2 linked regions of the Oryzias latipes genome follow. Each later gene encodes a partner of the first gene's protein in a complex. Links are inferred from orthologs where the notes say so. Each region holds a gene or a part of one and is shown on either strand. Other genes may lie near its edges.

Region 1 (8,056 bases):
AGGTCGCGGCAGATCAAGAGAGCTCAGGCTCTGTTCTTGCTGGACCAACTGCAGCTTCTGGAGGAGTTCATGAGGTGAAACCACTCCCTGCAACTGGGATGGCAGACCTGACAAAACAGAGCCAGAACTTATATATAAAAGATACTTTTAAAACGCGCAAAAGAAACTTGTCTCTATGATTAAATAATTGTTTAAATCTAATCTTTTACATCATTCCGTTGAAAACTGAAACTGAAGCCGACAGTTAAGGTCTTGGGTTCACATCGGCCTCAGCACTAACATTCAAGCAGCCACTTTAAATGAACAGTCTATGTAAATGTGCAAACTCTTGCGTTCACACGAAGCTTCACAAGTTGTCACGACCAATTTTAGGCTTTATGTACGTGGCTACTGAATGCATCTTGCAAGTAAAACCAGGTCGAACTTTGACCAATCAGGGACTCTGTATGGATGGAGACCCTTATAATTCATTGAGGTGCCCACGGTTTGAAAAACTGATCATGAGAAATGAATAATGACAGTTGGAGTCCGGACATGCACTAGTAAATGGAACAAAAAGAAAAAAAGAAGAAAAAGAAGAAGTCCCTCCCTGATTGTTCAGCGTGAACACCGTGGGCTAAATGTGTTGAAGAAGCCCCATTTAACTCGTTCTTGAATTGGCATCAAACACCTGGAGTGTTTGTTGCTTAAAACATTGATGAATTAACATTTTGAAAGTAGAATAATAATCCTTGTCAGTAAAGGTGATCTCATTTTTATAAATTTGCTCCAACTATTAAGTATTAAATTTGTTTTAAAATGGGTTTACTATATACGTAAATTCGTTTTACATGTTGGGATGTCGTGCTTTTGTTTATGTGATGCGGCAGAAACCATTTCTCACCTGTTCCCAGTGAAGCTGCTGCTGTTTGGCTGCTGTGCTGTTCTTCTGTTTGGGACTCTGGAAGTCTGAAAAACAGCTGCTGGCTTTGCTGTACTTGAAGGTGGGGGCACGAGGCAGACTCTCCTGCTACAAAATGGGGGGAGAGGTGAGAGTGAGCCTGAAGAGGGGGTGGATTGGAGCAACAAGCGGTGGGCCGGACAGCGGAGGAAAAGGTGGTGGCCAGTTGAGGAAGTGAATGACTTTGAAAAAGCTTCTTTATTGGATCATGGTGAAGCTGCTGCTGCTGCTGGTGATGATGATGATGGTGGTGGTGCTGCTGATGGTGATGATGATACAGGTGGTGGTGTTGGTCCAGGGGCACCCCATTATCACACAGTCGGTTCTCCGGGGACTCAGAGACGGTTTGCAGGCCGCCTCCAACACTCCTCTGGCCCTGCATCAGCTTTGCAATGGCCGGGCAGTGTTGGGGTTCGTTCTGCAGAGGTTGAGTGGAGGGGGAGGGACTGAGCAGAACAGCTACAACGTTTCCACTCTCTTCACCAGGTAGTGGCCTGACATCTCCATCTGAGCCCCCGGCAAGAGCAATGTGTCCAACAGCTGAGGTGACCGCATCGTCGTAGGTCAAAGTGCGAGCCACCGGGGGGCGAGAGACTTTTCCTGTGGTTGTGGCAGCCCTCCCAGCAGGAGGGGGAGCAGATATAGAGGAGTGCGGTGTGTGATGCTGAGATCCAAACAGGGTCGCCAAAGAAAGAGCCTTGGGCTCAGAACCCTCACTGCTCTAGATTTAAACAAAAGGAAATGTGTAATATAATATAATATAATATAATATAATATAATATAATATAATATAATATAATATAATATAATATAATATAATATAATATAATATAATATAATATAATATAATATAATATAATATAATATAATATAATATAATATAATATAATATAATATTATATAATATTATATTATATAATATAATATAATATAATATAATATTATATTATATTATATTATATAATATTATATAATAAGTAATGGATGTCAGTTAGAGAAACCAAACAAAAATAAGGTATTTCACTGAATAAAAGCTGACCAAAAGCTACATAAAAAAAAAATGTTTTAAGCAAAAACTGGAACTCAGACACAGAATCTAAACGTAATCATACCTGAGTGTGTGGTTTAACGGGTATTGGTTTGATGAGGTTGGGGTTTCCAAAAAGGACACTGCTCCCACCAATCTCTTTTGGTTCTGAGGGAGGTTTTTCCTGAGAAAACAAAGAGGAAATACTGTACATGCTCTTTTATTTTGAAGAAAAACTACAACAAAGAAATGAACAAAGCGAAACATTTTGTTGATCTATTTGACAAAAATGTACTGATAACTGATGTTTCGTTTGATAATCTTTCAGTCTTTGAAGGTAGCATACTTTGTCGAATTCGCTGCGCGCTTTGGTCAACATCTGGATGATGTCGACTGGCTTTGTTTTACTGCTTCCTCCTCCTTTTCCAGCTCCTATTATTCCTTCTCTTCCTCTTCCTGGTGACAACCACCCATCCTGGTTATGAGCCAGGAGCTGCTCCTGATGGGTCAGACTGGAAGGACGCAAAAAAAAAAAAAATCACTACATTTAAATATTTATTTCTTTTAACACGACACAATTTCAGCTTTGCTAAAGATTAACACGTTAAACACAAAACTACTTACATCTTCATCCTCTGGGCAACACGTTGACAGTCTTCCTTATCATAGAACCAAATCCCATGAATAACCACTGAAAGGACAAAACAGAAAAGAGACTTATATTTCTGAATTAATATTATACTAAAAAAAAGAAAACTAATAAAAGAACAGTCACAGCCAAAAAACAAAACAAAAACATGTTAACAGACCAGCTGTTTTTTTCTTAAATGCAATTTTACAAAAAGGTCAGCAGACAGCAGAATGAGCTTATGGATGCAGCATTTCCGCTACAACCAAATCAAATCAAAGCAGATTTTCAAAAGTTGAATTTTGATGCTGTGACATTTAAACAGACATCAGATATGTAACTATTAGCATTGCTGAAGAAATCATTCTGTTTCCATATCAAGTGGAAAGAAGCCTGTAGTCCCATTGGACGTTTGAACATGTGCCTCTGAAAGCGCCTTAGCTTCATAAACATGTTCAGTGAGCATGTGGAAAAATGTGAATTCTGCACATCAGAGAGCTAGTAAGACAGCTAGCAAATCAAAATTATTTTATTTTATTTCCTAGTGTAAATTAAAATGATCAGCATGAAATAAAAACATCTGTGAGGAAAATAGTAATTTGCTTTTTACCCCTTAATAAGTTCCATTCATATAACATTTATTGAACTTTTACAAGGAAATTCTGCCTTTTGAATGTTAAAAACCTTTAAGAAAAATAAGAGTTTATGAGTAAAATGTTAGAAAACTTAAACAGAAGGAAAGAATTACAAGTTTAGAAAAAATGAAAGATACTTGAAATAACTTTAATCCGACACTGAGATGAAAAAAGAATATTTGACATCTTAACCTCTTTAGACCCGAGCTCTTGTTTGATAGCTTTTTTTATTTCGTAGCCACGGGCCCACAGGTAATCAGAATGAACTACAGTGAAAATAAAACCCACAATGTGATGTCATCGTATGTGGACGCAAGGTCACAAGAGGCTAATATACTTTCTAAACTCATTCTAAACTTGTATACGATGCAGCATTAAACAGGAAACAGAAGAACTTTTCAAGCGAGAGCTTCACAGACAGCCCATATTCTCCCACAGACAGACCGACCGACCGCAGAGGTCACTGTGGATGAAGGAAACAGACAGCGGGGGGAGGCAGAGACACACACACAGAGTTAAGTTGAGCATGGGAAAAAATCAGCCCGGGACCAAATAAGCAACTGCAGAGGGGGACTGACTGGTGGAGTGGGAGCAACTGAGTGCTCACAGGGGACAGAGAAACACAGTCGAAGTCAGGGAGCCGGAAAATAGAAAACAAAAATGAGCAAGACGCTGAGAGAGAAACAAGGAAGTTTTACCAGGTGTGTTAGTCCTTCAGAAAAGGAACACGTCGTTCTAAAATCTCCATGTAATGAATTCTAAAAACACGACTACACTGTGACATGTCTGAAGCAGGATCATGTCCTGCAACACCTCAGCTATAAACTAACAAACAGACTGGTCAAAAGTAAAGAGGACACGATTGAAAAATCGCAGAAAATGCTTTTGACTAAAGATAAACAGCTACGGTGGCTTTCTGAGCACAAAAAAGGCTGAAAAGAGCAAAATTGACACAGGAGGGCGGGAAAAGGAACCACCAGTACCAAAATCTGAGCAGAAGGAAAAAGAGGAGGCGGGGGGATACATTCTACTCACTGGACACTGAAGAGAACGAAGAAAAAGAAAGAGGAGTATTTAAAATCTGGAGCCAAGAACCAAATCCACCCGAATGAGAAACCAGGAAGAGTAAATTAGCGGCAGTGTTTAACTAATAACACCAGAGATTGTACTTCAAAGTTGGAGCAAAACTCTGTGATTGCGAGATCCGCTCCTTAAAGCCTTCGGGACACGGACTTAATCAAAACAGTGAGCATATGTGATGACTCCTCTACAGTAAAAGTCACGGGACTTGCGTGTTTATCTGTATGTATCTGAAAAAGCACGTTTAGATGGGATTTAGCAACACGGTGGTTGTGTTGAGCTGCAACACAAAGGGAACCTTAAGATAAATTTAAGACTTTTATTCCGCTTAAACTTACTATAACTTACATTTTTGAAGGACTAATGTTGCCAGAGACAGTTTATGGCTGCATTATGAGGTCACGTTTTTGATTAAATGTTCAACTATTTGTCATGATGACCACTATCATTTCATTCTCACTGTTTCCTGGTGGAGGTTAGACTGTTCTAATAGTTAAAACACATCCTTATAGAGCTTTCCTTACATGAAACACACTAACTGTGTTTGGAGGAATGGAATCATGACAATGTGGGAGGAGTAGACACTGACATGTACGGCTTCTGAAACTTCGGAGGAAAGACGAGATTATTGTGTCGATTTTGCATCTTCGGCTGGAATGCAGGCATCTCGGCTGCCTCTCAGGTTCAAATGAAAGGAGGGAGCACCACCGTTCCTGTGGCTGACTAAACCAATCCTGCACCACCTTCTTCTGAAGAAGAAACACTTTTGTTTTATCGAACCTGCAGGAGGACTTTGTGGATTCTTTTAATTCAAGATTATTTCTATGCAAGTGGAGAAAGACAGAAACCATGATTAGAGGTCTGTTTCAGAGAAAACCGAAACATGAGAGGCTGAAGGAGGAACCTGAAGTCCGATTTAAGGGCTTGTTGGTGTCAGAGAGAGACCTGGGATATACATACGTCCGACCTGGAGGTAAGAATCTACAGACAACACATTAAAAATGGTCTCAGGATGTGTCGGCTCAGATCTACATATGCGTGAAGGTGCAGCTGATAACACAAAATATAAATAAAATGACCAACAGAATAACCAGAAACTAAACAATGCTGCATATCAATTTTAGATTTAGAGAAAAGAATTCAAGTAATTTCTGCTGAAAAACATCAATACTGTCAAAAATGTTCATGTGAGACATTTATTTTTATTTCTTTATATATTTCTTTATATTCTTAGAAAATAAAAAAAAACACTGAACAGAAACATTAAAAGAAAATAAGACAGATCCGTGGAAAAAAAAATACTGTATACTGAAATTGAGAGCTGAAAGACTAATTTTTTTTTAGAATATTGGTGTGACTAAAAAAAAAAAAACAGCTGTAAAGACTTATAAAAAAAATTAAACTTGAAGGCTTCAGGCTGGAAAAATAGCATTTTGTTCTGTCCAAACATTTTTGTTCTGTGACCTATCCACGCAGTTCATTTTTAGCCCGGGCTGCCACTTTGTGCCAACCACCGTTCCAGGAAGTTGCGGCAGCACTTAGGCCGACATGTTTATCTAATGATAAGATTCCACGACCCCTCCACCAAGAGGTCACAATGCACTGGCACACTAATGCCAGCAAGCTATAAATCACATTTTCTCCAATAAAACCACGTTTTCTGTCTACTAAAAGTGTTCTTTCGTTATGTCATCTATGTAGAAATTTGGTAAACATTAGTTTGAGCAGCTATTATAGGGTAGGGGGTATTACTTTTGATGGGTCTCACTTGATCTTTCTTTTTATCCTCTTATGTACATTAGCTTATGGCCGCTCTGTAAATTTGGTTCTACAGTGTCACATCTACAAACGCAAAGAGTCTCTTTGAAGCCAAACAGTTCCTCTAAATCCTAGGAGACACACTGATAAAAATCAGTCTGATAACAACCATTACTCATGTCTACTTTTGAGCTCTTTTATTATTCATCTTAAACCAGAGCAATCAGAGCAAACTAACATTATGCTTGACCATAACGTTTGCTTTGAACCCACCATTCATTTACTTACATAAACCAATCTAATCTGTTCATTGTAACAGCAGACACACTAATCAGCTGTAACCTGATTACTGGTTTCAAGTGTTTTTACGCTTCGTGCTTCCCACAAGCGAGTCGGTTCAAATCTGTTCCTTGTTGCAGATGCTCCTACCGCAAACCGGCTATTTTGTGTTTGTTAGCTTCTGAATAGAAAGTCTAAATATTGTGCTTTCTGTTTCACCATGTTCCAAGTAAATGTAAAATAACAAAAATGAATAAACCAAACAATTTCTTTCAGTACAAAGATCCGGCTGCATGTCATTGTATATGACGGGGAGGCCAAGACGACAGGAGCCTTCTCTGTGCTCGTCAGCTACTTCTAAGCTAGCGTGTGTTTAGATTATCAGTGACTGTGGAAGTGTATCTAATCTCAGCTGGCTGCTTTTGTGGTGCTGTCAGACTCTTGTCCCACAGGCACACTTTAGAATGTGATTGTGTGTGAGAGCGCCCGATGCAGGTCTCAGAGAGTTGGTGATAAAACAAACTGAAATAACTCTGCTGAAACACCTTAAATGGAGTCACCGATTCATCCACCAGTCACTAACGTGGTCCTTCCTATCTTATTTGATGTCAAAATAATGTTTTAGTCATAAAAATACGGCTGCGTTTGACGCAACAACATTTTTTTTGAAGATATGTCATTCTTTTAGCATTTCTAATACCCTGCACTTTTGTGTGCTATTCAAAAGAAATAAACATAGTAATTATGGCTTAGTAAAACATTTTAGGTCCATAAAAAAAACCCATAAAAATCTAACTATGATCTTTGGTTATGTGGGCCCGAACTGACCTATGCTAAGAAAATAAATATACTGAAACACATGTAAACAACCATTAATTAATTGCTATTATTATTCATATATTAGGATTTTAATAATATGCATCTGTTTATGCAATAAACTCCAGAGGAAGAGGGTCACAGCAATAACTAAAATATGTAATGCAGCAGCTTGCATTGTATTTAAGACTGTCATGCACAGCAAACGCTGAAAGAATAGGACAGAAACTGGAAATCTGTGGGCTATTTTTATATATTCTGACTTACATCGTGCGTTGCGATAAAGCAGGAAAGGGTCCTGAAGCTGAAAGTCCAAGTCTTTTGTGATCGGCTCTGTCAGATTGTCCATGCTGAGACGGTTCATAATGGTAAATCCGTGTCTTGGAGATGCCAATCTGAATTAAAACAGCATGCAAAATGACAAAAATAATAACTATCAAAACTCAGGAAAAAACAAGGTATTACACACAGTGGTACATTATCTCCCTAATTGATATTAAAATAAAAATAAAATAATTGAATGCAATGGATGACCTCAAATAAACCCTAATCACAGACTTTAGGTCTTTTCTTTACCTTGTGTAAATAAAAAGAGTGCCTTCAACTTCCGTCTTCTCCTGAAAAGTAACAACAATCACGTCAAAAAAAGTGGGGGACAAATGTGTATTTTAATTCTGTTTTTTATTAAACATCCTAGGTTGCTACTTTGTAAACAAAGCTAAATAAAGCAGTACAAAGTATGAGGATGGAAATTGTACCAGTGTGCTTGAGTAAATTAGTGTGTAGTCTCGTGATGTGGTAAAACTCTATACTAGTAGTTAAAAAATGATCTATAACTTCAATTTTGTTTTTGTTTTCAAAAATCAACTTCAAAGCAATCACTTTTAACTTAA
Region 2 (7,954 bases), on another chromosome or scaffold:
AACATGGTGTAAGTTGTGGTTTTTCACAAAGCAACATGAATGTGGACAATCAGGGTTGGGTGAGACCATCCATGTTGTTAGGCCTGACAGTGGCTCTGAGGAAAAGACAAAAAGCTGGAGGTAGCAGAGATGAAGATGCTTAGGGTCTCTTTGGGAGTGACCCGGATAAATGCCGGATGCACACATGTTAGAGGTTTTTGGAGATAAAGTGTGACTGAGATGGTTCGGACATGTCCAGATGTGACCAAAGACCAAAGAGGAGGTTTATGGATGCAGTGAACAAAGACATAAAGGTAGCTGGTGTTGGAGGATGCAGAAGACAGGGTTAGATGGAGGAAGCTGATTTGGAGTGGTGACCCCTGATCCACCATTGCACAGTTCAAGCAGGTCCAGATTGAATTTTATTTAGGTTTTTTAAGTCATGTTTACGATATTTGATGCAGTGGGGTAAAAACCGTTCTGGAATCTTTTAGTTCTTGCTTTTCTTGTGCTATGGGTTTTAAAGTAAGGTCAGAATGTATTATATTGTTGTACACTGTGATGACAAATCCATCCTTTGAATCTTTTGTTGGTGTAACTTCTTATCTTGTAGCACCTTCATATCAAAGCATATTATCTAGTGATGGTAGTCCAACATGATAAAGCGTTTGTTGTTGAGGAAAACATGAACCTCAGTTTTTATGCGATTCATTATTTTGCTGTAGAGGAAGATAACAGAGGGATTTGATTGAATTCCAAAGCTGAAAAGAGTATGTCAAGTAAAAATCTCTGAATAATGAAACCACTTTATCCTGCATGAAGATGCAAACAGTTTTATTAGAAGAGGCGGATCAAAATGCACATCTGAATGCTGATTTAGACCAGACCTCGGTCTCAAAGCGTGGGGGTCAGGTTGTGCTCTCAAGTAAACTCTGGCTTTGTTCACTTTCTGTGTGAATGCAGCCTAATCAAAAGAGCGGAAGTTAAGTGAAGAGAGATGAGCAAAGTGAAATAAAAAAAATCAAAGCTTAGAAAAAAAATGGAGCAAAAAACCTAACAATGTGAAGGTGTGGGTGTTGATTTATTATATTAACAAGCCTGTAAACGAACCAGCTGAAATATTCTGGCCTGAATAAACCTACAGAATTAGAACCAGCTGCTGAAAGTGATCAATTCCATCATGTCTCTACCAAATAAATAAAAGTGACTCCCGTCAACCATAGCCATGAATCCCTGTTGCAGAATCCAGTTTGGGTCCAATCGGCCTGCCACTTTTGTCATCCTAATTGTCTGAACTGGGGTTTCCTGCACAAATTATGTAAGAAGGATAGCTGCTGATGATCAGCAGGAGTAAGAGAGTGAAGTCATGATGGCACACAGGTTTTCAGCTACAAACACCCAAGTGACACAGCTTCACGTCCTTTTTTACATTTTACCCAAAATCACAAATGCAGTTTGGTTTATTGTTCCAAGAGGTCAACAGACGACTGCAGGGATGTTTTTGCGGCCGCAAAGGGATGCTGCACGCAAAGAGCCACACCCATGAGAGGTTCAGTAAGCCCTGCGTTTGCTGATTTCCATCTTTTTTCCGAATCTTATGTAATTTGGGTCACGTGACATTAAAGTGGTTAGCGGGAGGAGTTCCTTGTGACTGTCAAGGTTTCCAAGAGTCAAATTTGATAAGGCTTCTTTAAACAGGACATTACTTTCAGCAACATTTAAATGGATTTGTGAGCTGGGAAAAGCTGAAAAATGAGGTTGTTTTTTTAAAAAAGTGGTTTATACCAATATGAGATGATGTTTGTGTGAATGACACAACACTGTCTGTGTGCGGTTCAGTGCTGTCTGACAGCCTGTGGCTTTTTCTGTCTCTGCTTTTTTTTTTTTTTTTTTTTTTTGGAGCATCTGTGTCCTATCAGAGAATCAATATATCTTCAAAGTATACATCACTTTTTTTATATAAACTATCTTGGGTGTTATTGGGTATTTGTCTACTTTAGATAGAACTCAGATCTCATTCTTCTCTCCCAGTTGGATGTATTGTATCTTTTTGAGACTTCATTGATTAAATATCTGTGACTATTGCCTTTTTTGGACTTAAAGACAGCCTTTCATTTCAGGAGGAACATCATTTGAACCAGCTGAACCCAAATAACTTTTAAAAAATGGGGGATAGAGGTACTCATTATAACTCCTCTGCAGTGTTCCACCTCAGTTTCAATTTTATTTACTCTATTTAACCTTTATTTTACTAGGAGGATCAGTTGAGAACAGCTTTTCATTTAAAATGAAACGTTTTTAGGAGTGTTTGCTCACATCTAATTAAGAATTTAGGATTTATTTCTAATCTTTTTGCCAAAAGCCCATATCGAACCCTGTTTTCATGTGTAAGAAATTTGTGAAAATGTATGACACTGCAACTTTTGAATACATTTATACCTTTAGTTCTTACTTCTAAATGTGTATGTTTTAAATATCTATACAAAAATGTTAAAATGTTGTCTACAAAACTTAAAAATTTATATCTGTCTTTTACTGTGACTGCTGCATTTAGAGTCATTTTTGTATGCAACATTGGTGTTGATTTAAAAAAAAGAAGCTTCAGTGTTTGATATCTGACTGCAGCCCTAAGTTTGAACAGTATTCCTGGCACGCGCACCGTCCAGAAATGATTGCCGCAGAGACAAAAATGAGCAGATGGACTGGCTGTGAGGTGTAACTCAAGGAAAAAAAGAAAAAGAAAAGGGGAGGTACAGAGGAGGAGATGTGGATGGAAGAGAGATAGGGAGGCAGAAGCACCGAAGGAGCTCAGCAGAGCTTGTGTGAAAACACTGACAGGCTAAAAGGCTTTCGGCAGCAGCGGCTTCAGGAGTAGAGTCCGTCACACGCCGCCACACCGCGACTCTCACCGATAAACCCTTACATGCCGCTCGCAGAGAGTCGTGGGGAATCGGCTGCAGAAGCGGACTACAAAGCTGGAGCGAGGGCTTGACGGGGAGGATGAGGAGCATCACCTGACTGGGAGTCCGCCTCAGCACCTGCAGTGGCAGACTGAGCACTCCAGCTGTCAAGGAGACTGGGGCAGACGGAGGAGAGAGCTGCTGAGATTATGCGCAGGGCAGAGAGCTCCAGAGGATTCCCCATCTTTGGCAAAAGCAGCAGCTGCAGTCGGGGGAGCAGGAGCTTTGGCTCAGCAGACAGAGACAAAGTCAGGGGGAGCTGCAGCAGAACAAGGAGCTCAGACTCCAAAGCTATTTATTTACTATCCAGCGTTGAATGTAGACTTTCCGGCCAAGTTGTAAGAGGAACCAGCTGTGCTGAATGTACCTGCAGCCCCGGTCTCTGCAGCACTGGTGCAAAGGTGGCCCCAGCAGTGCTGGCGTTCAGCAGTGGTTGTCAGGGTAGGGGGGACAGTGGCTCAGGACACTGAATGACCAGTGTGGCTGATGAAGGCCACCTGGATTCGCTTGCTGAAACGAGCCAAAGGAGGTCGAGTCAAGAGCTCCGACGCCTGTGTAAGGCCATTTCTGAGTGTGTTTACATTTACACATGTGCATGCTCTCGCCTTTAATGCATCCACCCCGTGCTTCCGCCATCCATACATAATGTCGAGTTCCACAGTTGTGTATTACCGTGCAATGAAGAGAATTTAGATGCAGCAATCATTTTTAGCTGTCAGCTTCTGGGCAGAGCTCCACATAACCTCCATCTGACTCTCTAGAACAGCGCTCCTGTTGCACCTCATCTTTAACTGTGACGTGATGGAATAATAATAGTTGTCCAGGTGTTCCAAACAGCGTTTTTTTAAAGCCCAATAGGACTCTCGAGAAAGGAGAAACATTTGCAGTCCATCACAAATGGTGTGGAGCTGTGAAGGTGCTGCTGCAACCTTGAAGAATTCTGCTGGGATGTATGTTAAAGCCAATGAGAAGATGGCCTTGATATTTACAGACAACAAAGCCCTTGCATTAATAATAAACCTCCTAACTGTATCATTTGTCTCTTTATTAATTGGAAATGAGTGTGCAACAAGTTTTTGATGGAGATGGTGGGTACATGAATAGATTAGCTTCATCCCCGGCAACATTATCTTTTTGTTTTCTTTTTGTTTCTATACATAAGTGGGGCTGAGGAAGGAGCGGTGCGACTCTCCTTCGTACGTATGCGATGGTTGGGTAATTCTAATCAGGCGCAGAGTGTGGCTATTTTTAACTCAGACATCAGAGGGTTCTGATGCAGAGAAATGAATGAAGACTCTGTGAAAGAGGCATAGTAGAGTGCAGGTAAAAAGAAGACAAATACTGGATTTCATCAAAATGTTGTGTTCATTTATTGAACACAACATTTGTCCTATTTGCATTATTGGGGCTTCTGAAATCTGCACAATATCTTTTTTTTTAAATATAAATATTAATTTTCCATGTGTTTTTATTAAGTTTACAAACTTATTTTTCCTTTTTTTAAGGGAAAAAACCCAAATGATAGTTTCAATGTTAGAATTCACAATTTCATTTTGGTTGCTTTCATTTTATTTTGTTTTTTTTGATGGTATTGTAAGTATAAGTAAAAAATGACTTTATCTAGAAAATAATAGATTGATAAAATCATGTCAGACTGTGAATCTAATTATGACCTTCAAATGAATCCAGCTTACTCTGATAATTATGGTCAACATCTGGGGTTATGAACTGGCTTTAGTCAAATCTTTATGCAGAATCTCTTTATTATTGGCATCCATTTATAATCCTTTTATTAATTTATAATTTTTTAGTCTTGTAACTGTCAGCTTTCTGTATTTGACCTATGTGTTTATGTTATACATCAATGTCAATCAGAGCTCCTGAGTGTTCATGTTTCTATGAGTCTGGATATTAAAAGTTGTTCTTGTTGCTTGGATCCAAACTGAACTGGTCTGTTTCAGAACCTTCTTTGGCTTCTGTGTCATTCTCTCATTGGGCTAAACTGTGCAGACCAGAATAAAGCAAGCCAAAGAAAATCAAAAAGGTTCCAAAAATCCTATGATGTGAAGGGCATCGTATTATTTTATTTTTTGCCAGACTCTTAAATAAATTAAATCCTTGAATTGAAATTATTTTTAAATGAGTTTCTTTTTAATGGAGACTATTTTTAGTAGCTTTTTCTGAAGGAAATTCAACATTTATCAGTGAGTTTCATTTTACATCACCATATTTGTTTTTTTATTTGACAGTTAAAAAGTTGTTATTTAATCAAACCAAAAAGAAAGCTGAATCACAAACGTGCAAATCAAATTCAATCGGTTCAATAATTTGGCAACTATACCCTAATTTCATAAACGTATCTAAGAAAAAAAGACATTTTTGTCAGGGTTTTCTTCTTATATATGGATATTGACTGATTATAGATTTATTATGGGACACATTTAAAGCGTATTTGATTATTTACCATTGACATCTGTTTCCACACCTGTAAGTTGTGTTATTTATCAAGTTGTTTCCTCTAACAGGTTGTATTTTTAGCCATGTGAAGCTGAGTTTGAGTGTCACTAACAAGCTTCTGTTTGTGGGTCTGAAGGGTTCGGCCGACTCCTACACCAGCCGTCCATCAGACTCCGATGTGTCCCTTGAAGAAGATAAGGAGGCAGTTCGCAGAGAGGCAGAGCGACAGGCTCAGTCACAAATTGAGAAGGCCAAGGTTGGTATCATCTTTCACAATTTGATAACTATTCTGCTGCCTTTCACTAAGTACAAACATACTGGAGGTTTTTCAAAGGGCCTAAATCATGCTATTCTTAAGCCTTTCAGTGTAAACTATATGCATATATATGAAAATATATTACCTTTGACGCACTAAAGAACACATTTTTTATGAAATAGTTGTTTTATTGTTCATTTTGCGTCAGTACGTAAGACGACTGAATCTCTGAGGCTCCGCCTTTCGGTCCGTGTGGGTGCCGCCCACTTAGAGCCGACCTCGGTGTGTCTGCGTTTCGCCCACGAAATCAAACAACATCCGAACTTTTGCAAAGACTGATGTGCATGTTGTGTATATAAAAGGAAAGCATTTAGCAGATCCCTGCTAGCACCAAGTCGAAAGTGTGTGTGTGTGTGTGGGGGGGGGGGGGGGGGGGGGGGGGGGGTTATGGCAGTAGAGACTCTTCCTGGAAGGGGCTGTTCTTCACTTATCTACGTCACAAGGTGAGAACCCACTGGTTTTTGTGGGTTGAGAGGGGCTGGTGCTCAGAGCGCAGGTTTTTAGAAGAATGATCAGAAATGCGTAAACGGATCAAAATGTGGTTGTGAGGAATTAAGGTTATACTACACTTAAAAGTTCAAAAAAGTTCATTTTATATGTTATATGTTTACATGATAATTATTTCATGTCATAAATATGACAGCAGATTGAAAAAAATCAGTCGAGGCCGTCAGAGGCTGAGGTGTAACTCTGCTTCTTAGCACTTAATCCCAGCTTTGCAGGATCTGACCTGGGGGGTAACTGTCTGGGACATACAGTCCTGCGAAGGTTTTTTTAGCCTTTTTATGGAGGAGTGAATACATTTTTTCTCAATTAATGATTAACTCATTTAATTGAAGTTGGCGTTTTTCCCAGCTTGCAATGCTCCAGATGGAACAAGCCTTTTTTTCTGACCCATCTTCATGCATTTCCTGCTTTGACCTGAATGGCTAATACTCTGCTGGCGCTATGTTTTTTTTTTCTGAGATGTTTCAAAAGTATCTGTGTAGAGTTGATCAAGTGTTGTTTGCCATCACCAGGTGATTCCATAAAGTCTAAACCCCACACTTAAAACTAAAAATTCATGGAGTCTGTTATACAAACAGACACAGGATATTAGAGCTTATTTTAGTCGCTTTCTCACGTGGAGGAGGGCTGTAGATGTGAGGGGTTGGGGGCCTCTGAGGGTTCAACGTTGCAGTTTATCAAAGCAAAGTCTGACTTGGTCTGCTCTCGGCCACAATTAGCAGCACATAAACAAACATGCACATGACAAGGCAGGCGCGCTTTGGCAGGACAGGAAATGCAATCAGGACTGGCTTCCTCAAAATCTCCTAAAACCCTGACGCTGTTAATATTTGTGTCTTTGGTCTACAAGATATCTGTATGGAGCTCAAGTTTCTGTTACAAATGTCCTTGACATTTCAGTTAATGTGCTTCATTGGCTGTTTAAAGCCTAAACTTGACAATCATATGCATATTTTGTGTATTGTATGGATTGTTAAAATAATTCCAGCTGCTTTCTAAAATAAAACTCTGCCACACCAAGTAAAAAGAAATGCAACTTTATGGAGATCGCCCATCTTTTTACATGACAGATCTAAATATTTCGCCTCTTAGACGTCTGGCCACCAAAAAGAGAAGCAGCCTGAGGTCAGATCCTGTCTGAAAACTCTTATTGGAATAAAGTCAAAGAACACTAACAGTTAAAAAAAAAAAAAAAAAAAAAAAAAGACTTACGTCTGTAACATCTAAAAAAAGCATCTTTTTTATTTTTTTTTACTGGCACAACAGGCCATATAGGACTTAAAAAAACATAGAACTGACCGTATTTATTTGCAAAAGTCAGAGGAGAAGTCGGACCGTTTGTTCCCTTATGAGGAAAAAACTCTTCATATGAACATGACTTTGACTTTAAAGGTGCCTGATAAAAAAGTCATCAATCAAATTAAAATGGCCTTATTAAAATGATTGATTAGCATTAGCAGTACTGTTGACTCATGAGGTAAAAGAGTTTCGTGCTCTTTGCGACAAAGACAAAATCTCTGCACTCGAACGAAGTTTGATCTCTCCTTACCCGATTGCAAAAGTATTTGACATTAAACACCTTTAATAAAGGCATTGCAGAGGTTCATTTATTTTTATTTTTGCAAGGAGAGACCACTCTGCAGAAACTGTGTTCTAGAAAGCGACACAGGTTTTTGTGATTTTGCCTAAAATTGGCATAGTCATAATTAAAAAAAACAAACAAACACTGGAAACG

What was found. The genes of interacting proteins can lie anywhere in the genome.
Region 2: voltage-dependent L-type calcium channel subunit alpha-1C (region 1) and cacnb2 share a complex: the UniProt entries of both Homo sapiens proteins name them as parts of the calcium channel complex. The link is inferred for Oryzias latipes from reciprocal best matches to the Homo sapiens genes CACNA1C and CACNB2.

The regions. Positions count from the first base shown.
Region 1 is NC_019881.2:14,483,008-14,491,063, forward strand, and holds the start of voltage-dependent L-type calcium channel subunit alpha-1C, read left to right. Parts: upstream 1-3,521; 5' UTR 3,522-5,159; coding exon 5,160-5,283; intron 5,284-7,430; coding exon of another isoform or gene 7,431-7,558; intron 7,559-7,739; coding exon of another isoform or gene 7,740-7,780; intron 7,781-8,056. Other genes in the region: dcp1b (mRNA-decapping enzyme 1B), read right to left, coding at 1-107, 884-1,661, 2,053-2,151, 2,314-2,479, 2,592-2,658, 7,431-7,558, 7,740-7,780. UniProt on the Homo sapiens protein: Pore-forming, alpha-1C subunit of the voltage-gated calcium channel that gives rise to L-type calcium currents. Mediates influx of calcium ions into the cytoplasm, and thereby triggers calcium release from the sarcoplasm.
Region 2 is NC_019878.2:20,107,840-20,115,793, reverse strand, and holds the start of cacnb2 (voltage-dependent L-type calcium channel subunit beta-2), read left to right. Parts: upstream 1-2,608; 5' UTR 2,609-3,425; coding exon 3,426-3,494; intron 3,495-5,532; coding exon 5,533-5,652; intron 5,653-7,954. UniProt on the Homo sapiens protein: Beta subunit of voltage-dependent calcium channels which contributes to the function of the calcium channel by increasing peak calcium current. Plays a role in shifting voltage dependencies of activation and inactivation of the channel.